4 linked regions of the Caenorhabditis elegans genome follow. The protein of the gene in region 2 interacts with the protein of the main gene of each other region in a pairwise test. Each region holds a gene or a part of one and is shown on either strand. Other genes may lie near its edges. The genes, in order: epn-1, arrd-11, ubql-1 and dnj-27.

What was found.
Region 1: the proteins of arrd-11 (region 2) and epn-1 interact in a two-hybrid assay, tested with the Caenorhabditis elegans proteins (one large-scale study listed by BioGRID).
Region 3: the proteins of arrd-11 (region 2) and ubql-1 interact in a two-hybrid assay, tested with the Caenorhabditis elegans proteins (one large-scale study listed by BioGRID).
Region 4: the proteins of arrd-11 (region 2) and dnj-27 interact in a two-hybrid assay, tested with the Caenorhabditis elegans proteins (one large-scale study listed by BioGRID).

What each region holds. Positions count from the first base shown.
Region 1 is NC_003284.9:14,815,294-14,820,447, forward strand, and holds epn-1 (ENTH domain-containing protein), read right to left. Parts: upstream 3,222-5,154; 5' UTR 3,202-3,221; coding exon 2,929-3,201; intron 2,879-2,928; coding exon 2,617-2,878; intron 2,540-2,616; coding exon 2,382-2,539; intron 2,333-2,381; coding exon 1,946-2,332; intron 1,894-1,945; coding exon 1,743-1,893; intron 1,512-1,742; coding exon 1,333-1,511; 3' UTR 512-1,332; downstream 1-511. Other genes in the region: Dual specificity tyrosine-phosphorylation-regulated kinase mbk-1, read right to left, coding at 4,732-4,809, 4,901-5,154.
Region 2 is NC_003280.10:13,761,470-13,766,166, forward strand, and holds arrd-11 (Arrestin C-terminal-like domain-containing protein), read left to right. Parts: upstream 1-1,948; 5' UTR 1,949-1,957; coding exon 1,958-2,142; intron 2,143-2,464; coding exon 2,465-2,570; intron 2,571-2,616; coding exon 2,617-2,779; intron 2,780-3,215; coding exon 3,216-3,887; intron 3,888-3,937; coding exon 3,938-4,083; 3' UTR 4,084-4,173; downstream 4,174-4,697.
Region 3 is NC_003279.8:7,020,071-7,028,015, reverse strand, and holds the start of ubql-1 (Ubiquilin), read right to left. Parts: upstream 6,035-7,945; coding exon 5,942-6,034; intron 5,820-5,941; coding exon 5,714-5,819; intron 5,669-5,713; coding exon 5,361-5,668; intron 5,253-5,360; coding exon 5,124-5,252; intron 4,560-5,123; coding exon 4,316-4,559; intron 3,990-4,315; coding exon 3,850-3,989; intron 3,805-3,849; coding exon 3,721-3,804; intron 3,675-3,720; coding exon 3,562-3,674; intron 3,515-3,561; coding exon 3,449-3,514; intron 3,405-3,448; coding exon 3,344-3,404; coding exon of another isoform or gene 3,323-3,343; exon of another isoform or gene 3,293-3,322; intron 1-3,292. Other genes in the region: pdi-3 (Protein disulfide-isomerase), read left to right, coding at 7,229-7,459. UniProt on the Caenorhabditis elegans protein: May play a role in the ER-associated protein degradation pathway (ERAD) possibly via its interaction with ER-localized proteins ubxn-4 and cdc-48.1 and/or cdc48.2, providing a link between the polyubiquitinated ERAD substrates and the proteasome.
Region 4 is NC_003279.8:11,875,790-11,880,814, reverse strand, and holds the start of dnj-27 (DnaJ homolog subfamily C member 10), read right to left. Parts: upstream 3,013-5,025; 5' UTR 3,010-3,012; coding exon 2,851-3,009; intron 2,807-2,850; exon of another isoform or gene 2,736-2,806; intron 2,655-2,735; exon of another isoform or gene 2,577-2,654; intron 2,521-2,576; exon of another isoform or gene 2,441-2,520; intron 2,439-2,440; coding exon 2,133-2,438; intron 1,032-2,132; coding exon 709-1,031; intron 391-708; coding exon 143-390; intron 1-142.

The sequences.
Region 1 (5,154 bases), on a different chromosome or scaffold from region 2:
TATTGCACTGACCTTTTTTTTGCTTGAAAGACAAACGAAACTTTCTGTAAAACCACCATTTTTTGAGTAAATTATGAATGAAAGTGTTCAAAAAGCCGATTAAATATTGCAAAAGTGTGTAATCCGGATCAATTAAAAATTAGGCTTGCGTGACTAATGGAGGAAGGAGCTTTTTAAGCGTTTTTCACTTGCCCTATTTTGTTCAGAACATTAAAAATAGGTTTGACCCCTTTCCTGAAAAAAAAAACACAATTTCACATTCTTCCAACAATAACTTCTAGGCCATCCCTTGTTCACCCATTTTTTCTTCCAATAAATGCGATAACCCCTCTGAACCATTGTTCATAACCTTTTCCGCCAATTTCATTCCGGATAAGTGCTCTCGTGCTTTTTATATTCAATTTCCTGCAATTGTTCCCCAAATTTCCGATGGATGGCTTTTTCGTGTCTAAAGTAGCATTTGCGGTCATCAAAAACATGAAATACTAATAATGATTTATCAAAAATTTAAAAATGATAAGATTGTTTATTCATTTGAAAAAAAAAATATTTTTCAGTAGAAGTTGTGTTAATTTTGTTGTTTGTTTTAATGTGGGAAGTCATATGCATCTCCTAAAAAATGTTATGTCTCCAAATTACTGTTAGTCGACAGCATTTGCTTGATATGATGTTATTTAGAAGCAACCAAAGAAAATAAAGAGAAAAAAAAAGAAGACTTCCTTCAATCAGACACGCTACAAAAAATACCATACACACGAAGAAAAAAAAGATGTGGGAAAACTTGAAGGAAAGGGTGGAGCCAAAAAAGAAAAAAAGAGTGAAGAAATTGAACAACTCAACTTCATCAATCGTATCGTTTTATAACGGTTTAATTCAAGACAAGTTGCGGGAGACGAAAATTGTACAGAAAAAGTATAAAATAATTCCCAAAAATTTTGGGAGAAGAGAAGGCAAATGGGTGGGGACGAAATGTTTGAACCGTCACCAACAATTACTTCAAAAAAAAAGAGTCAAGTTTAGCCAAAGGAGGATGACAAGTTAGTGGGGATGGGATGGAGAAGATGCAAACAAGCAATGACAGGCTGTAAAAGGAGGATAGGCTTGCAATAGATATAAATAGATTATACAAATAATCGACATATAAGTATCATAAATTACAAAGTTTAATTTATCTTCGGGCTTCACAAACATGAATTGAAGAAGAAATTGTAAAGGAGGCGCGGGGGAAAAACGTGGTGAGTGTATATGAGAGTGAGTTTCGTTTTTGACAGAAATATATCAAAGCTGATTAGAATAGGTAGTTTCACAGTAAAGACCAATTGCCCGGACTGTTTAGAAAGGATTTGCAAATGGATTGGCTTGTGGAAGTGTCCCACGTGGAGCCATCGATGGAATTGGAGGGGCCTGTCCTTGAGCAGCACGCATCTCATTCAATGTCGGAGACTTTCGTTGTTGAGCAGCAAATGGATTGGCGTTCGCTGGAGCGGCTCCGGTAAGGAATGGGTTTCCACCTGAAAAAAAATGTAGAACATTCAATCATTATCAGTTTTTTTTATTGCGCCAGTGCGTTCGCGCTTTCAAAATTGTGCCCTTTACGACATCACATCTTATCAGCTGATTTTGATATCAGCGGCGCTTCTGCCGTAAAGGTGTGAGCACGAGTTTAAGAGGGATGACACAAACAAACACAGAGCAGTAGCACAAAATAGCACCAATCTGAAAATAAATTTGGTTGTACTGACCTGTGGTGCTTGGAGTTCCGCTTCCCAGCAAGTTGTCCAAGTTGACAAGGTTAGAGTTCTCCCCAAGGAAGTTTTCTGGAGTCTTTCTGGTACCATTTGTGGAGTTGTTAGTGTTGATGTTGGCGCTCAATGAGTTAGTTGGGGAGAGCAGCTGAAATAAATAAATATACAGAATCTACGGAATGACTGAAAATAGATCTTACATCTCCTCCGAGAAGATCAAACGAACTGCTCGTTGGCATTGTTGATGGAGTAGTTGCAGCTGGAGCCGGTGCATCCCAAGAAGCAAACGGATCAGAGTTTGGAGCGGTAGCGGCAACTGGTTGAGCAACTGTCGATGTAGCCCATGGATCGTTGTTGGACATCGAGTTAGCAAACATTTGATCGTTTGTGTTGAGAGAGGCAGAAGCTTGTGGAGCACCCCATGGATCATTCATTCCCCAAGCCGACGATGACGATGGTTGATCGTTGTTTCCACTGACCAGCTCACCAACACCCAACGAAAGCAGGTCGTCAAGAGCGGATTGGGTTAATTGTCCGCTGCTCACGGTACCTTGCTTGGTCGTTGCGAGGCGATCGGCATCCTGAAGCTATAAGGGGTTAATGGGAAGACGGAATATGGTGGGTTTCTAAACAAACCTTTTGCGACTCTTCCAGAGCCATTTGAAGGCGAGCATCATCGCTCTTGCGCATCTCGTCGGCCTTTTCGCATTCCTCTCGTGAAAGAGCAAGAGCAATTTGAAGCTGCATCTCTTCCTCGGTGGCGGTAGATGGACGAGCATCTTCGTACTCGGGGTCTAAAAAAATTTAATTGAGCAGAGTTGTTGTGGGGAAGTATCCGCGCTGCTATTTCAATATGATATTTATATCTTACCAAGAGACGCGTCGGTGACATGATGACGATTGCTGCGACGACTTTCCGCTCCAACCGGTCCTGGATTGTTTTGCTTGAATTTGTTTCTTGTGAGGATGAAGCGTGTTCTTTCGTTTTTCAAGCGTTCATCGTCGGAGAGCAGTGAAGTGATCTGCTTTGCTTTCTCTCGAATGTTCAAGCCCTGATCCCGATTGTCTTCCACATGCTGGAAATCCTTGAGTGTTTCAATGGTGAACACGTTCTCTCTGCATTGTTGCGCGACCTGCAATGCGAAAAAAAATCGATAATGCATATGAGTCAGAAAACCATTACCTTCTCGTGGCCGCATTTGATGAGAAAATCGAGAAGCACCAGACTTTTGTACACGTGTCGCCAGTTTTTGCCAGAATCATTTAATCGCTTCCAAACAATTGACATAATCTCAGTGAACGCCATTGGATTGTGCGTCAAGTCGGCAATTTCGGACATGAGCGCTGTGGATGGTCCCCATGGATCGTTGCTTGTGGCTTCGCGAACCTTTACTTGTGCATCCGAGAAATTATAGGCGACGTTCTTCACTTGCCGGCGAATCGTCGAAATCGACATGTTTGCTCCCCGCCTGAAAATAAAAAAAGTTAAAGAGATGCAAAGGCAGAAATCAAAATTATACAACGAATGACCATTGACTGAAAAGGAAACATCACATGGATAAGATTATGCCCAATCAAATAAACTGAACAGAGAACTACAAAAATGCCAACTGGCAAGAGGGATGATGTGGCTGAATGGTGTGGCTAAAACATAGAAATTGATAAGAAACGATCCAATAGAATCGCGCATGTACAATGCATATTTGAGAGAGAGAGAAAATGAAAGAAAGACAGAGAGGCGAATGAGTGAGGTTTGGAGAGGGTGAGTCTTTTGTGAGTGAATATATATGTGTGTGTGTGTGTGTGGTCTTTTTGCGCGCGTCGCATGCGTTTTGTGTCTGTGTCTGTGTGTGTATCTGTGAGTGTTGAGTGTTGAGCGCGAGAGTATTTCTCCTCGAGGCGAACGCGCGCCGCGCGCGTGCAACAGCGCACAGTGAGCGCACGAGTGTCAGTGCGCGTGCTAGAGAGCACCATTTGCAGTGAGACGCAGATGGTTAGAAGTGTCCCCCAGAGAAAAGAGTGCGCAGAGAAAAAGGAGCCGGATAGTGCGAGAGACACAGTGGCAGCGCACGGTGGTCAGAAAAGAAAGAAATTAAGCTAGTGAGTTCGCAAAGTCACGAGATTATTTGCTTCGTTTCAGTGAGTGAGTGTGTGCTGGGCTGAATGATTGATGAAAAGAGAAGAAGGGGTAGTCAGTGAGTATCAGTTTTTGATAGTGTGTGCTACTATCCGTCGCTGCCTGAAGGTGTTCACAGATTAGGACTGGAAGAGCGGCAAACAAACGTATACACACATGCATACACATGTATTTCGCATTTCCAAATGCCTTCATTTTTCTATGAAAACGGGCCTCCTAAAAAAAAAAAAGAAACATGGATGGAAAGGGTGTGTTATATGAAATTGGACGAAAAATGAAGAGAATACAGAGAAACGAATGGAACTTGAGAAGAACAAAAACAGGTTTTCCTGTGGAGATGACGGGGGGGGGGGGGATTGGCTAAAGGCGTCGAAGATTTATAATATCTTCCTGGTCGCGTTGCGAAATGGATGGATGGACATTGGTGGCAAACGGGCGGTGGGGGAAATGGCAGAAATTGCAAGAAAATTCTGAACGAAAAACTTCTAGTATGTAGTACTTTTTTGCAGTCGGTGACGAATGCCCCGCTGCTGCTTGGGTTGAGGATAGCTCATTGGCAAATAGAGAAGTTACGAAATATCTGAACAGGTTTTTTTTTCTGTTGACACGTCATTCATGCTTGTTTTAAATGTTTCCAATATTTTTAATTAAAACTTCCAAAAAAAAAACCCTCTTAAATTGATAAATTGAGAACTTATAATTGAAAATACAACAGTAGTAATAAAAAAATGCTAAAGTTGAACCAGTGTTTATTAACTCCATATTGTTCACAGAAACAAAAAAAAATAACAAGCATTACATCAAATTGACAGAATTTCCAAAAAAATTAGCTATTAGACTCTGTGTGCTTCAGAGTTTGTTGTTCGGGTAATCGAGTTTCTCCATCTCTCGGTTGTTAGCATTTACATTTCCATGCGTCATCGATACCTAAAATATTTATTTTCAATAATTGGCATTTTCTGAATGATGGGTGGGGGGTGCAGCAGCGCATTTTTTTTATTGCAAAAAAAAATCTCACCTGTTGTGGATTGAATTGATTTCTAGAAATCTGATTCGATACAGAGTCATCAACTTTTCGCTGCTTCTGCTGAAACGTGTCATCCAGCTCAAACTGATTCCTCCACTCGTTCTGATCCTGTTGTCGTGGCCGCGCCCGTGATTGGAGGTGCTGTTGGGAACTGCTCTGCGCTTGTGGCATGTGCTGGCGTTGTTGTTGCTGTTGCTGCTGTTGCTGCATTTGCTGTTGCTGGAGCTGCTGTTGGAGTTGAGCCT
Region 2 (4,697 bases):
AACAAATTGCCGGAATTGAAAATTTTTGGAAAATTAACAAATTGCCGGAATTGAAAATTTCTGGAAAATCAACAAATTGCCGGAATTGAAAATTTCTGGAAAATTAACAAATTGCCGGAATTGATAATTTCTGGCAAATCGGAAAACTGCCGGAATTGACAATATCCGGCAAGCGGCAAATTGCCGGAATTGAAATTTCCGGCGAATCGGCAAATTGCCGGAATTGAAAATTTCTGGAAAATGGGTAAATTGCCGGAATTGAAAATTTCTGGAAAATGGGTAAATTGCCGGAATTGAAAATTTCTGGAAAATCAACAAATTGCCGGAATTGAAAATTTCTGGCATATCGACAATTTGCCGGAATTGAAAATTTCTGGAAAATCAACAAATTGCCGGAATTGAAAATTTCTGGAAAATTAACAAATTGCCGGAATTGAAAATTTCTGAAAAATCAACAAATTGCCGGAATTGAAAATTTTTGGAAAATTAACAAATTGCCGGAATTGAAAATTTCTGGAAAATCAACAAATTGCCGGAATTGAAAATTTCTGGAAAATTAACAAATTGCCGGAATTGAAAATTTCTGGAAAATCAACAAATTGCCGGAATTGACAAATTGCCGGAATTGATAATTTCTGGCAAATCGGAAAACTGCCGGAATTGACAATATCCGGCAAGCGGCAAATTGCCGGAATTGAAATTTCCGGCGAATCGGCAAATTGCCGGAATTGAAAATTTCTGGAAAATGGGTAAATTGCCGGAATTGAAAATTTCTGGAAAATGGGTAAATTGCCGGAATTGAAAATTTCTGGAAAATCAACAAATTGCCGGGATTGAAAATTTCTGGCATATCGACAATTTGCCGGAATTGAAAATTTCTGGAAAATCAACAAATTGCCGGAATTGAAAATTTCTGGAAAATTAACAAATTGCCGGAATTGAAAATTTCTGGAAAATCAACAAATTGCCGGAATTGATAATTTCTGGCAAATCGGAAAACTGCCGGAATTGACAATATCCGGCAAGCGGCAAATTGCCGGAATTGAAATTTCCGGCGAATCGGCAAATTGCCGGAATTGAAAATTTCTGGAAAATGGGTAAATTGCCGGAATTGAAAATTTCTGGAAAATGGGTAAATTGCCGGAATTGACAATATCCGGCAAGCGGCAAATTGCCGGAATTGAAAATTTCTGGCATATCGACAATTTGCCGGAATTGAAAATTTCTGGAAAATCGGCAAATTGCCGGAATTGAAAATTTCTGGAAAATCAACAAATTGCCGGAATTGAAAATTTCTGGCATATCGACAAATTGCCGGAATTGACAAATTGCCGGAATTGATAATTTCTGGCAAATCGGAAAACTGCCGGAATTGACAATATCCGGCAAGCGGCAAATTGCCGGAATTGAAATTTCCAGCAAATCGGCTAATTGCCGGAATTGAAAATTTCTGGAAAATTGATAAATTGCCAGAATTGAAATTTCTGGAAAATTGACAAATTTCCGGAATTGAAAATTCCCGGCAAATCGGCAAATTGCTCGACAAAAAAACCTTGCTGATTTTGACTGAACATTTATATTTTTTCTTTTGTGCGTTATTAGTCATTCGGATATAAACATCATTGCTAACAACAATTTTAAAATTCTCTGAGGAATCGGTCGCTATTTAAACAACCAAAATCTGTTTTTGTTCTTGTTCTCTGTGAGTAAATATTGTTATCAGGTTTGATTATTTAACACACACCTGTAAATGAAAATACCCAGTAAGATGTCAACATCTTAATTGATCACTTGTTCTCTCTTCCAACATTTATTTGTTCTATTTTTCTTATGAAATATGAAACATTAAAATTCGTTTAAATTTCCCAATATTCTCCATTTTCAGTGTTCTCTCCACCGATTTTCTTCCGGTTTTTTGAATTTTTTAACGATTTTTTTCCCAATTTCCAGGGTTATCATGCCAGAAACTGAGCTTCATGTGATATTCGACCAACCTAACGAAGTTTTCTTCCCGGGACAACCGATTTCCGGCCGAGTGGTGCTCTCAACGACGGAGGAAAAATACAAGGCTCGGGCGGTGAATATCAAAATTTTGGGATTGGCTCACACTAGTTGGACGGACTACGACAGTGTTCGCAGAGTGTAAAGAATTTCAATTTTCTGTTCAAAAAATATTATTTTTAAAGAAAATTAAAAAAAAAATTTTTTTCGAATAATTAAATATTTATTAAAACTGTAAAATTGTGCCTAAATTAAGTCAGAAAAAGGGGGGGGACCTAAAATTGTCGATGCAACAATCAATATTTTTTAAAGAATGATCTGTAAGGAGTTATAATGTTCCGTAAAAATATTAATTTGATGAAAATTTGAAAAAAAAGTAAAATTAAAAAAAAAAAAAAAAACATTCATAATAAATAATTCAAATAACAAATAATAAAATTTTTTGATAAGCATACATTTTCAGTGACAATGACGGCAATGTGAGGTACGATTCAGAATCGGTTCATTACTCATCGAATGTGCACTACCTGGATCAGGCTCTGCTTCTGTGGGCTTGCAAAGATGGATCGGTAGGAATCTGAAAACATTTAAATTTGAAATTGTATAAATTTTCAGAATGAATTGTCTGCTGGAGATTACGTGTGGCCATTCTCATATACTCTTCCTCTCAACGTTCCGCCAAGCTTTGAGGGAAAATATGGATATTTGAGATACTCGGTGACAGCTGAAGTGGATCGGCCATGGAGATTGGATAAGGCGAAGAGACGGTGCATCACTGGTGAGGCGAGGCGTGGGCGGTCTTCTAATTTTTAGTATTACCGTATTTCCTTTATTAGTAAGACGCCTCGATTAGTTTTGCCCCCTTCGTTCTACAAGTTCAAGTGTCAGGCTGTCCCATTTCAGTTTGATCTACCCCGCATTTTTTGAAGATCAAAAAATAATGGGAGAGCCTGACCCCTCGTGCAAATTAGGAAAACTCGTACACATTTGGTATAACAAGTCGAAATTGGTAAGAAATGAATATGTACAACTCGGACTATTTTGCCTATTACATAGTTATAAAATTATTCGTTCAATTTGGCTCAATGTGTGTTATTCAAATTGATGGTATTGTGCCATAACTTATGGAGAACTTGTTCAAAAACTAGTATCTAAATAGGTCGCCGAAAGTATGCATGCCGTACTAAAAGAGGAAATATTCTATATCCTTTCAGTTTCCCCACTGATCGATCTCAATGCCATTCCCCTCGCACTCACTCCAATCGACGACGAAGAAAGTGAGAACCTGGGCTGCTGCTTCTTCAGAAAAGGTTACCTCGAACTGCGAGTAAACATCCCAAAAACTGGATTCGTACCCGGCGAGACTGTTCCAATGAACATCCATATTCTAAATCACTCCTCCGTGCCCGTCACCGAGGTCAAGGCGAAAATCATTCAGCAGTGCAAATTCATCGCTTATCGAAACGGGACTATTTTCCGATTTGATGGAGGTTCGGATACGCTAATGTCAGGATCTTCGCAGCAAACAAAGTACGACACTAAGCCCGTTATCACGCAGACACAGCCGATGACAGTGACTCCAGGGAATGAGCACAAGTTTGTGCTGGAATTCCGTCTGCCATCTGTAACTCCAACCATCTGTCGGTTCTCCCCGGTGATTACTGTAGAATACGTGGTACAAGTCCGCGTGGAGACCACTTCAACATGCGGGAGTGCTGCTAAGTGTGAAATGCCGATCCTTATAGGAACTGTACCTATTCGAAATTATCTTCCACCACCAATTCCAAACAACTACCCAATTGGCCTGCCACCACCGTATGCTAATCTTACTGATGTGAATGTGCCCTGTCCGAGCGGAGGTAGTGGTACGGCAGTGATTCCAAGTGGTGAGTTATTCAGAATTCCAGAATTATTTTCTAAGATTGAAAGTTTTCAGCTCCACCACCATCCTACCAGGAATCCATGTATGGAGTGGGAGGAACCGAGCTCAGAGCCGAGGAGAACGAAAAACCATTTGCTCCAAAATACCCAGTATTCAATAATTTGCCAATATATAACCCAACGGCGCCACCGTCAGAGTAGCAATTCTTAATCCAACTATGTTTGTTTTGTTATTGGTTAGGGTGCTATGCATAAACTTTCTTGACAGGTTGTTTTTTACTTCAGAAGATTCAAAAAGTCGTAAAATTTGATATGCCAAAATAAAAAATTTGCATTTAATATACACATCAGGCGTGAGCGGGAATTGCTGTTCGGCCAATTTTTTTGTCGACAAATTCAGCAAATCAGTAAATTGCCGGTTTCGCGATTTGCCGGAAATTCTGATCTTCGCCGAATTGCCGATTTGCCGGAAATTTTTAATTCCGACAATTTGCCGATTTACCGGAAATTTTAATTCAGGCATTTTGCCGATTTGCCGGAAATTTTTAATTCCGGAAATTTGCCAATTTGCCGGAAATTTAAAGCTCTGCCAATTTGCCGATTTGCCGGAAATTTCAATTCCGACAATTTGCTGATTGCCGGAAATTTTCATTTTCGGCAATATATATATAAATATATATATTCCACAACTTGCCAGTCTATAACCCAACTGCGCCAGTGCCGGAGTAACCATTTTTTGAGCACATGTTCTGTACAACCTATGGATGATAATTTACTATAATTTACTATAATTTAAATATTTTAAAACTAATAAA
Region 3 (7,945 bases), on a different chromosome or scaffold from region 2:
GTCACATGAAAACTTTGAAAACTCAATTATTGTTGTGCTAGAGGCTCAATTCCAAATCCATCCATCTTTGTATTTGGAAGGCAATCATTCCAAAATCTATTCCCAAGAAACAAAAAATATGGTCTATAGGAGAGCGGAGCACTTGATTGAAATGATGCACATACATACCCACACAGACACAAATTAACATTTCCTCTGAGAATAGGCAATTTTGAAAACATGAGGGAAATGCACATAGCATGCGTAGAGCTGCTTCTTAATTGTTCATTACATATTACGAGTCAGTGCTACGATGTTTATCTTCTAAAAACGCATTTTGCTTGTCATGTTTCGAAACAAATGAGTGCGCGAACAACGAGTATCTGTGCATTTATATCTATGAGTGTGTTGTTCTCAATAATAACAGAGACAGGAAGAGGAGCAGTTGGACGAATCGACGCGTCATATGTGTTTTTGCATGGGACCCCTCTTGTTCTTCTTCCTATTGTGACCAGCACTACCGCATCTTTCCGTTCATTCGATTTATGCATTACACCATACTTTGACGAGTTCGACAACATGCATTAAGTGATACAACGTGTCCTCCACTCTCTACACATGTCCCTACAATTCCATCAACATACTAATTAATGAGAAGAAATGATTGGACTATGTTTCGGATTTAGCTATCGTAATTTTAAGGGAACTACTTTAAAGGAGAAACAATTTTAGATATTTGAATTTATTGTTTATCCTTAATGCAAAAATCAAGGTTTCAATATGATCTGAGCAAGAGAAGCGATGTTCTACTATAAAATAACTATATCACAGGTTTGATACAGGTGTTCGAAAGAACTGTTTCCCATGCAACCAGCCATCTGTCTATTGTAAGAACAAGAAAACCAATCGAATGCCTATTCAAAAGACACTAAGTGTTTTGCCACTGAACAGATCATCCCATCGTTTCGGACGTCGGCTCCTAATAGACTCCACTACTAATCACTTCGAATATCATTTGCATCGGCTCATCTTAACAAAAAAGGCGGGAAACGAGAAGACCGGAAGATGTTCGCCAGCTGCCTCTTTATGAAATGAAATACGTGTATGGCACGGCGCGTGTTCCACACAATCGCCGATTAGACAATTGTTGAATGAATAAAAGGGGAACGTCGCCGTCCTTTTTCCTATCTGCTCTCATCATGCGCACCAACCTCGCGCACTATTCCATTACACAATATTCCTGGAGACACATCGTTTACTATGATCTATGCAAATGTCGTCAAAACAATCATCTAATGAGACAAAAGCTGCAGCAGCAGTTATAACAAAAAGGGGGAGAACAAATGTTGTGGCCAATTGCTTGAAACATACGGGATAAATTTGATAGCAGCGTAACCGCTTACAAGATGAGATTATAGTGACATCCGATCCGTGGAATGTGTGTGTGTGTGTGTGTGCAAATACGTCGTCGCGCATCCTAAATATGCCACAAAACATGTGCTCCTAACAATTGCGGGAAGCAAAAAGAGCAACACTGATTTGCTTATTAAAGGGGCCGAAGAAAAAAGAAATATAGATCAGATATCGTAGTAAAACTTCTCGAAAAATCAAGTTTCCTAATTTGCAGTCGAAATTGGCAACTACCTAGATACCACCTATTTTAATTTTGGAATTCGACCGAAAATAGGCAATTATTCAAGTATTATAATTTAATTTTTTGTATTAAAACATTTTAGGGTGTCGAACATGGAATAATGCTCTAAACTTTACAAAAAGCTCAACTTTCCGAAAATTTGGCATTGTGCGTACAAATAACCCCTAATGTAGTGAAGATCACATCTACTAAAATTGAAGGTTCTGTGATAAGAAAGTTTCCTTTCAGCTTTTGTGTTGCCCTCTCATCCCAAAAAAGATCTGATTATTGAACATAGTTTTTTTTGCTGTGAAATGTGTAATATTTATGTGAAGAGACGAGCCTTTGTCGATCAACGTTTTTATGTGCGCCTACTAATATCATTTTATGTGGGCAATGCACATACATACACACACTCATCCACGTTTTGGTATTGAACAAAATTAATCGAAAATGTAAAATGACATATAACATGTATGTGCCAACAATGTGTTGTGTGATGCGAGAGCATTCGGTCCAGTAGTGCAACGTCGACGAAAATTAAAAAATCTGATCTATTCGTATGGATAAGATGCCCGCCTTTCACACTTCCTATGTCAAGTGATGAAAACGAAAAATGCAGAAATTATTGCTTTTGTTTCCAATTCAAATTGTTTCGTCTAACAATCATCAAAAATTAAAAGACAAGGAAATGAGGGGCCTTCCTCTTTCACTGGGGGAACTCATGATAAATCTCCCACACTTCTCTTTTCTAAGAGTATATTCTGTCTGTAGAAAGGGCCGAGACATCAGAATTTCGAAACAATTTTAGATACGCCACCGGGGTCTAAATGAAATTCGATATGATAATTGCATTTTCTGAGCAAACAGGAAAAGATTTTCGATCGTGCACGCTGTCATCAGTTTGCCATCGTCTTCGTCACTTTATACTCATTATCTAACATTTATCCATAGCATGTCAAACGAGCCGACTTTTGCTTCTGCTCAGCGACGACGGCACAGAAGAAGCAGAAGACGGAGCATCGTCTTGTTACATTATTCAGAACAGACACACGATGACTTCTTCTTTCTTGCTCGCGCACTTCCGTCGCTGTCACAGAGCAAACGGCGACTCGGCGCAACTCATCAGCTTCTAAATTTGAGCAAAAACTTTGATATATGAAATGAAGGGGGAACTTCATTTGATGTGAGGCTTCAACTAATCATCCAAATTTTCATTTCAATTTGGAAAATTCAAAAGACCACGGAATCGAGAGGGAAGTATAAAAAAAACTATACTATGGGAAATTATTGGATTCGGTGATATTATTCTAAATCGATCTGTCGATTGAATTAGAAAGGAAAGCTTAAAATAGTTCAATTAGCTGAAAAAGTTCTTTGAACCCATGATGTTTCAATAACTATCATACAGACAATAGAAAGTTTTGGCAATTGCCGATTAAAAAAATTTTACCACTTCGATAAATTCACAATCCAAAAATAGGCTATTGTCGAGTTTTCAAATTTTGCAATGAATAAAAAATAAGAAAAACTGATTTCTACAGTAGTAATGCTTTTTTTTTAGCTTTTTAAATAGAAATTTTCTCTTTTTCAGTTCATAAAATCTTATTATCTCGTTATTTCACTCTGAATATTTTTTTTTCTAGACAATTCGAGAAGGCCGAACTTGAAAATAATCACCTCTGCTCCCATAAGAAGTGACATAAGAAATCAAATATTCAATATACTCACTCTTCCTCCTCCCATATTCATTGAATTGAATAAATCGGCAAGTCCGTTTGCAGAGTTTGCTCTGAAATGAGAAAAAACTATCAGCTATAAAAACTATCAACGAACCCAGCAGAAGATGCATTGGCATCAGAACCGAATGCTCCACCTCCCATTGCTCCAGCTTGGAAAAGGCTAAAATAATTTTAAATAGTTTTTGACTAAATGGTATTTTCAAATACTTCAAAAGTTGAGGTGCTTCTCTGCGAAGAGTTGAAAATCCCTCTTGAATTTGACGGAATGCTTCACTGACCCGTGGGTTTCTCATTGCCTCCATCACAGATGGATCAGACATCTGAAATTTTGAAATATAAATTTTTGTAAAAATTTAGAAAATAAACCATGTTGAGCATTTGTGGAAAACTTCTACGAATTCCTTCGGAAATCTGTGGGTTATCACGAGCCGATGGAATTTGTCCAACAATCTGAACTTACATAATTATTTTAAATTTTTTAAAAATGAAACTAACGGAATCAATGAGTCCAGGATTGTTTGACATATTTTGACGAATTGAATTGATGACTTCTGGGCTGAACATACTGGCCTGCATACTTGGATTGGACATCATCTGCTCCATTAGGGAGCTGATGCCAGGTGAATCAAGCAATGCTGAATATGAATTAAAACATTATTAACGGATCACTAAACTATGAGGATATTCGTGACGTTTAAATATTTTGTTTAAAATTATAATAAATGGTGGGCGGCAGACGTAAAATTGGGCGAATTGGAAATTTGTCGTTTTGAAATTTTTGTTGGAAATTTTTTAAGGAAAATGTTCAAAAATACATTGCTGAAAATCTTTTTTCACATTTACAATTTTTTAATTTTTTCGGCAAATTGATATTTGGCATTTGCCACTCGTCATTGATTATTATATGATTTTAATGTAAGATTTTTTTTTACTTAGAGAAATTTGACTCAGAAAAACTTACAATTAAAGTCAGCAGAACGATTATTCGATTGATTATTGGTAGCTTGATTGGCGTTTGAAGCCCATGGATTTGGCAGAGCTTCATTATTTTCTTGTCCAGCACGATCGACACGTGGCTCACTGCTCTGATCACCTCTTAGAGAAGCAAATGGATTTCCACTGAGCGAATTTGTTGCACTATTGAGCAAGGGCTCCTGTACATCATTGTACAACCGTTCAAGAGCAGCTTCTCCTCCGGGAATTCCCTGAAAATTGAATGTTTCAACATAAAATAACAAATCCAACCGAAAAAAAGGAAAATCTGTTGAAATTGGAATTCAAGACAAAAACCCCTGTAGCGCGGCTGGGATGGAATATATAGTTTCCAGAAATGTACCCCTGATATTAAAAAAAAATTAGCAATTTTTTGCCATATCAATTAAAATAACAATTAATTACTTTTAATAGTCATATTTAGACATTTAGATCGGCATCCTTGATCGATTTTTTAAAACTAAAACTGAAAAATCAGAATTTTTCGTTTTTCGATTTTAGAGAGAAAAAACCGACTTTTTCAATTTTTAAAAAATGGTATTAAATTTTGGTAATTTTTCTTTTTTTTAGACAATTGTTAGATAACATTAAAATGTCTTCGTATGTTTTTTGTCACCAACATATATGACACAAGTTGTGTGTCACACAACTTGATAAAAATCAAATTTTATTGATAATTTTCTGGACTTTTTTTCTTCGATGTTTCGATTTTCGCTGAAAACATTGAAAAATTGAAAAATGGCATCCCTTGATCAGCATAGCTATATATAATGTACCTGAAGATTCCTAATAGCTTGATCATGATTCCGCATCATTTCTTGGAACATATTTGGATTACGAATCATCTCCATAGTTTGACGCATTACATTCGGATCGTTGAGAATGTGTCCAACTTCTGGATTTCTCTGAAAATATTTATTGTCGATATACGAGAGAAATGTGGAAGATTAAAAAATTAAATAATTTTTCGAATCCGAAAATTTACAAAACAAATATCCAGGAAAAACTCGAACCTCAATCAATGCTTGGAATTGTGGGTTGGATTGAATAATTGTTCTCATAAACTCTGGATTTCCTAGAAGTTGTTGTGTAATTGGATTATCCATAACTGAACGCATAGCATCTGGATTGTTTAAAATATCAGCAGGTGATCCCATTCCTCCCATTGCTGCAAATGGATTATTGGTAGGATTCGGTTGTGAAGAAGGTGTTGGATTGGAACTTGGTGCAGATGAAGCTGTTGGTGTTGCAGCAGCCGGCGCTGGTGTTGGACGGGCTTGATTTCTAATAACCAAGTGGACGGTGTGACCATCAGCGATTTCTAAATTTTTGTTTATTATTTTTTGGAACACATTTTTCAACTTACTGTGCTGTGTGAGAGTTTCTTCATCCTTCAGAATTTTTCCGGTGTAAATTATACAAACTTGTTCTTTGTTCGCAGTTGGAACGAACACAAGAACCTTGTCTTTTAGCTGTAAAATATTAATTAAACACTGTGATTTACACATTTAATTTATCAAAATGGAATAATCACTTGAATTTTTATCTAATTCTCAAGAGCAAAATTTTATTTTTTAAATAAAATATAACATACTTCTGAAACTGATGCATCCGCAGCAATCTCAACGTCATACTTGTTCGACGGTGATTTCACGTGAACTTTGATGAGTGCACTCTCTGTAGCCATCTTAAATTTGAGAAATATTAAAAAACCGACAAAATTAAATAAAGAAAAAGGATTGAGAGAATGAGAGGCGGAGACGGAAAAGAACACGTTGCATCGATAAATCGAGAATATTCTCGAAGCGCAAAAAGAAATTTCGCAACTATTTCAGACCGAATAATGTAATAATGTAATGGGTCTCTTCGATAGAAAATAAACGAAGATAAACGAAGACACAATTCTTCCTGACGCGCGAGCTTCAATATGCACGTGATGACTAATTTGGTTTCCATGGTGATCTTTTTGTTCCTTTTATCGATTCAAATTTACAATAAAAATAAGAAATTAAAGTTCTAAATGGCGCTCCAATCAATTTGCCTTCCAATTTAACGTCGATTCCTTCTATATCAGGTCATAAAATGAATAAAAAACAATGATCAATAAAATGATGCGGTAGTTGCGTAAATCGACACATGATGGTCGCCTCTTCCGTGCGAGACCCATTGGGCGGAGTTCTCACAAGAATGAGGCCAATCGGCACACAACACGCGTGCGACAGGCAGTGAACGACGTGTTTTTGGCTCAGTTCCTACCAATCCCTGGTGTACACACGAGCGCCACGTGGACCTTAACAATTCGGGTCTATTTTTATGCTTCTGCTCTGCATTTTCTGGATTATTAGTAATAATATCATTAAAAGTGATATAACGCTCCCCGAGTCTATATAAAATTTCTCCTCCATACAACACATGTTTTTTGGCTTTCTTCTTCTAAGCTTAAAATTTATAGTTATTTACTAACTGTATTTTCCACTTATTAAAGATAATTTTTGAAAAGTGTTTGTAAATACTTAAAATTGAACCCGAAACAATCTGTATTTGTCCATTCACATGTGATTCACAGAAAAGAATGAAAATAAATGCGAAAAAAAAATAAATAAAGTAAAGGCGCATTGATTTTACCGCTCGCGGTATCTCGCCACGAAAACACGTTTCGCGTCAAGCGGCTCACGTTTTCGATGCGATCGCGGTTTGTTAATTGCGAAAACACCTTCCCTTCTCTTCAATCGTTCGCTCAATTTCTAGAAAATATTTCTGAATAATCTGAAAACCTCTAATCTTGTTTCTTAGTTTTTAACTTTTTGTCGGTGTTCCCGATAATCTCTCGCCCTCTAAACTCACTCGATCGATTGTCGTTTATAGGTAAAGTTTTTAGGTAATGATTTGGGTCCAGGCAGCTTTGGTCGCCTCCTTCCTGGCGTTCGCCAGTGCTGGAGGAGCCGTTCTCGAGTATACCGACGGAAACTTCGATGATCTCATCCAAACCCACGACATTGCTCTTGTCAAGTTCTACGCTCCCTGGTGCGGACACTGCAAGAAAATTGCCCCAGAGTATGAGAGAGCTGCCCCAAAACTCGCATCTAACGATCCACCAGTCGCTCTCGTCAAGGTAAGATAACCATACTTATTTACACAGCCATCGCTCATATATCGATCGCAGTGACACTGACAAATACGCGAAAGCTGATAAAACAGCAACGAAAGCCACATTGAATAGAAATATATGAAATGCATACAAAGGATTCTTTGAATTTATTGTTCTAGTCCTTATGCATATAGAAACATTTGTCCGTCATATATATTATGTATGCTGGTCCAAAATGGTTATTGTGTATTCAAAAGGCCATTGACAATGAGATCGGCTCGACATTTACATTTTCCCACGCATCAAATCACTGTTTGTTGTCAGGTCTTTACTCTACAGAATACGGACATCAATTAACGATAAGAGCAAAAACACCAGTCGCGTAGCAAACAGTTTTATCTATACCACAAACGAGTGCGATATGGTAGTAAATGAAACAAAAGATTATGTTTTTGAAGTTGAAGATTGTAAAAAAAAAGAAACAAAGATTTGAACCACGGTTTAGTAATA
Region 4 (5,025 bases), on a different chromosome or scaffold from region 2:
TGAAAAAAACGCTGTAATCCTAACCCTAAATAACGTCAGTGGGGGAGCGTTACCCCACTGACGCCAAGCCCAAGCCTAAGTCTACGCCTAAGCCTAGGCCTAAGCATAAGCCTAATGAGCAAAAAGTGTTGTCAAAACTCACCCAATAACCTCTGCAAGCTCTCCACTGAAATATCTTCAAGCTCATCAAGATATTGAATAACACTCTTTGAAATCTCTTGAGCATCCATGCTCTCAATATTAATTTGGCTCTTTTTCACTAGTTTTCGTGCCGGGAACCACATTACTCCTGACGTGATTGGATTGAATTTCGAGCACAGAGCTTCTTCAGCGTTACAGTCAATGGTTGCCACGTTGGCAAGTCCGTCGAGCATTGAGGAGAGCTTTCGTCTGCAAATTTAGAAGTTATTGGCCTAGAAAATACGTGGTCGAGGTTTTAAAATTTTAGGATTTCTATGCCATCAACTTAAACTGCCTATAACTTGGCTTTAAATCGATATTTTTGAATTTTATAAAAACCAATTTACACAAACTTTTTTTGAATCTAAAAGTTGATAAGCTACGTGGCCGATTTCTTCAAAAATGAGTTTTCTAGGCCACCAACTTAAAACCCTTGTAACTTGGCTCTAAATCAATATTTTTGAGTTCTGTAAAAACCAATTTTGTGCACTTTTTCTTGGCTTTCAAAAAATAAAAAAAATCAATTACCTCGTAGTAGAGCTCAGGCAATCAATATGATCCCCTCCACACATATCAACAACCCATGGAAGACGATTATATGGTTCCCAGTCCTCGCTCAACGCCTTCCAATTCTCCGAATTTAAATGTAAAACTTCAGATTTGAGCCGCTGAATCGCAAAATCCACCATCAACTCCACATCACGATGTCCTTGATAGAATTCTCCAGTTGGATAGAACACAAGTGATGGATAGGCATTTACACGTTGAGATTGGCACAGCTGTGGATCTTCGGCACAGTTCACAGCACCCACACGGATTGTTCCCTCGATTTCACGCGCGAATTTTCGCCACTGGAATGTGAAAAATTTTGCATTTTTGGTAGTAAAAATGAGCAAAAAATCTTGAAAACTGACAGAGTTAGGTGGATTTGAAATTTTTTTTTTATTTTTCAAAAAATTTATTTCAAAATCGAAAAAAATTAAAATTATTTTTTTACAACTAGATCTTTTTTGTGAAACATTTAGGAATTAATTCTGTTTTTAATAAAACAATACAAAAATTCAAAAGCGTTTTCCCAGAATTTTGAAAAAAAATATTTCCAAAAATTTCGAATCACTGTATGTCAGTCAATTTTTGAGATTTTTGGCTAATTTTTGTCCTGAAAAATTTGAAATTATATACATTATTTAAATTCAAAAGTGATGTATCTCAGTTTTCAAAAAATTCATTTTTATAATAATTTGAACTTTTTCCAAATTTGGTCAGTTTTTTTCAAATGTCCAAAAATTTCAAATTACCGTATCTCAGTCCAATTTAAACATTTTCAGCTCGTTTTTGTTTTAAAATACTCCAAATTATTTGAATTTTAATATATGTTTATGAAATTTTTCTGTAAAACTTTCAAAAAATTGCATTTTTCCAAAATTTGAAAAAAATACTTTCTGCAATTATTTTCCAAAAATTTCAAATCACTGTATCTCACAAAAATCACTGTATGTCAGTCAATTTTTGAGATTTTTGGCTCATTTTTGTCCTGAAAAATTTGAAATTGTATACATTATTTATATTCAAAAGTTATGTATTTCAGTTTTCAAGAAATTCATTTTTACAATAATTTGAACTTTTTCCAAATTTGGTCAGTTTTTTTCAAATTTTCAAAGAATTCCAAATTACCTTAACTTAGTCCAATTTAAACATTCTCAGCTAATTTTTGCTTTAAAATACTTCAAATTATTTTAATTTTAAAATTTAAAAAATACTTTCAAATAAGGTATTTTTCCAAAATTTGAAAAAAAAACAAATTTTGCAAAATGTTCAATTTTCAAAAAATTCCAAAACTTCATATCTCACTCCATTTTTGAGATTTTTGGCTCAACTTAGCCTCAAAATGCACCAAATTTTTTCTATGTTCACATAGAAACATTAAATTCCAAAACCCGCTTTTCTCTTACCGTAGGAGCCAGCTGATGACAATGTGAGCAATAAGTGGAGTAAAAATTGATGAACCAAATCTCATTTGAATCCGAAACCATTCGTTGAAAGTCTGCTCTATTGAGAGTCACAATTTCTTGATCATCATCATAGATTCCAAAATTATCATTATAAAACTGCCAACTTTGATAGTTATTTCCTCCTTGGAACCCGTCTTCCAGTCCTTTTTCTCCAAATTGGTCGTATTTTTTTCGCAGATTTTCGTCCTTCAGGACTTCGTAAGCTTTATTGATTTTTACAAATTCATCATGGGCGTTTGGATCATCCTGGAAATAGTGGTATGTGTGGAGAGACGCTAGAGATCTCTCTGTAGAGAGTGAGAGAGAAGGGGGAGAGAGTAGAGGAGGAGGGGAGAGCGCAGAGAGGCTAGAGAAAACCCTGAATATCTCAGCTCTGAGCAGCACTATCAAAAAATTTTCAACTATTAAAATGCTCAGAATAAAGTGGGAAATATTTTGTTAGTTGACAACTTTTTGATATCTCAAACTACAAAAAAGATATGACACTGAACGTGAAATTATGAGACTGTAAACTTCAAATCGTTTTTTCTCAGCTCAGAGAAGAGCTATAAAAAAGTGGTCAACTAGAAAAGTGTTTAAAAATTAATTTTACACATTTTTCAAGTTGACAACTTTTTTATATCTCTAACCGCTCAACAGATAAATCCGCAAAACCAACCGTATTCCTATCAGGATGCTTCTTGATCGCCAACTTCTTGAAAGCCTTCCGAATCGTCCGATCGTCTGCATCTCGTTCAACACCTAATAACTCGTAATAGTCCTCCGCAATCACCAGATAACAACTGATTAACACTGATAATAGGACAATTGCCCTCATTTTCTGTAAGTAAAAGTGAAGAATTTGATAGAATTAAACTGACTGGGACTTAGTAAACGTCGGCTAACGCACGAGATAGGGTGAGATAGAGAGAGGGAAAAGATATAGGGAAATGGAATTTTGATCGGAAAATTTTGCTGATTTATACCTTAAAAAGTGGCTCTGGAGATACAGAAAAAATTAGGGATTTTTTTGGAATTTTTTTTAGGCCGAAAAAATGCTTTTTTCGACTGAAATTTTCGGCCAAAAAATAATTTTTTTGGACAATTTTCAAAGGTGTTTGGATCTAGTTAAGCATTAAAAAAGTATATTTAAACTGGTTTTTAGGCATAAAAAGTCACAAAATGCTCCAAAAAGCTACCAAGACCTAATTAAGAAACTCACAATATTGTGAGCAAACCGAAAAAATCGATAAAAATGACCCAAGTCTTTATGGCTATGTGGAACTGGGGTAGATGTGCAAATATCTGGGAAGGATTAGAGGTTAGACGAGAGAGCACACTCATCACGAGAGACGCAGAGAAGTGGACTGTCCAAACTTGTTTGTGCTCGGCGGAGCTCAGATTTGCACAAGAACTGCAAAAGTATACAGGTTGGCTCTTGCTATGTGGCCGCTGGAAAAAAAAAGAAAAAAACTCGGCCACCGATTGTACTAGAACTGGAAACTAGAGGAGAATTTTTGAATAATTTGAATTTCCCGCACAATGCAAATGCGCTCTAATCGGAAAATTGCGTTAAATTCGTCTTTTCTAGGTGGAAATTGAACGATTTAGTGATAAAATTTGCTTTTTTGCATTTTTTTTTATGAAGAAAGTAATGAGAAGAAATCAAAATTTGACATAAAACTATTCCAAACTCTGAAAAACAAGCAAACGCCAAAAAAAAAGTGAAAAAATCTTAGAAATTGTTGTTTTAACTGCCACTTTTAATAGAATTTATGGAAAAATTAATTTTCTTGAGCAAGAATAAAGTATAAATTCTTTTAAATCTTGTTTTTCACGAAAAATGCCCCATGTTGCAACGAAATTCAAACTTCGCTCGCAAAAATTTCGGCATTTTGTCAATGGAGCGCGCTTGCTACATTTAATTTGTTTTGTTTTTTTTTCGCAATTTTTTATTTTTGACCGATTTTTGTGAAAGAAGAGTAGTTTTCGGATGATTTTTTGTTTTTTCAATGTTAAAAATAATTAAAATTATAATTTAAAATGTGTTCTAACCCTAATAATCCGCATAATATCCTGAAAATTTGGAAAATGATTTTTTTTCCTGATTTTGAAATATTTTCTCTCATTTTTCACAGTTTCTTCTCTTCTTTCCGTTCTTATTTCTTAATCATTACTCAAACAAAAAAGAAAATTGAGAAAAAAATCAACAAAAAACGGTGATTCCGATACTTTTAACCATACAAAATTCGGAAAAACACGTTTTTTTCGAAAAAAAAGAGTTAAATCCTCAAAAAAATCAAGAGATTTATAGAATAACACAGAGATGAGTCATCACGAATCGGCCGGCTATATGCGTTGACCCCTTTGAATCACACAAAAAGTGGGTCTCTTCAGTTGTCTGCGTCTCCGGGATTCGTGTGATGTCTTGGTGAATGGCGAGAGAATACCTGCGGGAAAAAAGTGGAAAATAACAAAAGAGGATACTTCGATGAACGAAAATCAATGTTTTTCAATTGCAATTGGATTTTTTTCGTCGAAATTTCGATTTTTCCACCCAATTTCGGCTAAAATCAGCACTTTTTCTGGAAAAAAAAAATTTGAATTTTCCGTCGAATTCGGACATTTTTGTGAACTTTTCTACTGAAAAAATACTGAAAAGTCGAAAAAGTCGATTTCGACGATTTTTTCTAGGAAAAAATCGTTGAATTGTCAGGTTTTAGAAATATTTGTGCATTTTTCAACTTAAAATCTGCCTAAAAGTAGATTTAGGCCGAAATTTGCCGGTTTTCGACAATTTTCTAGGTATTTTGTTATGAAAATCGACTTTTTAGGTGACTTTTAACATTTTTAA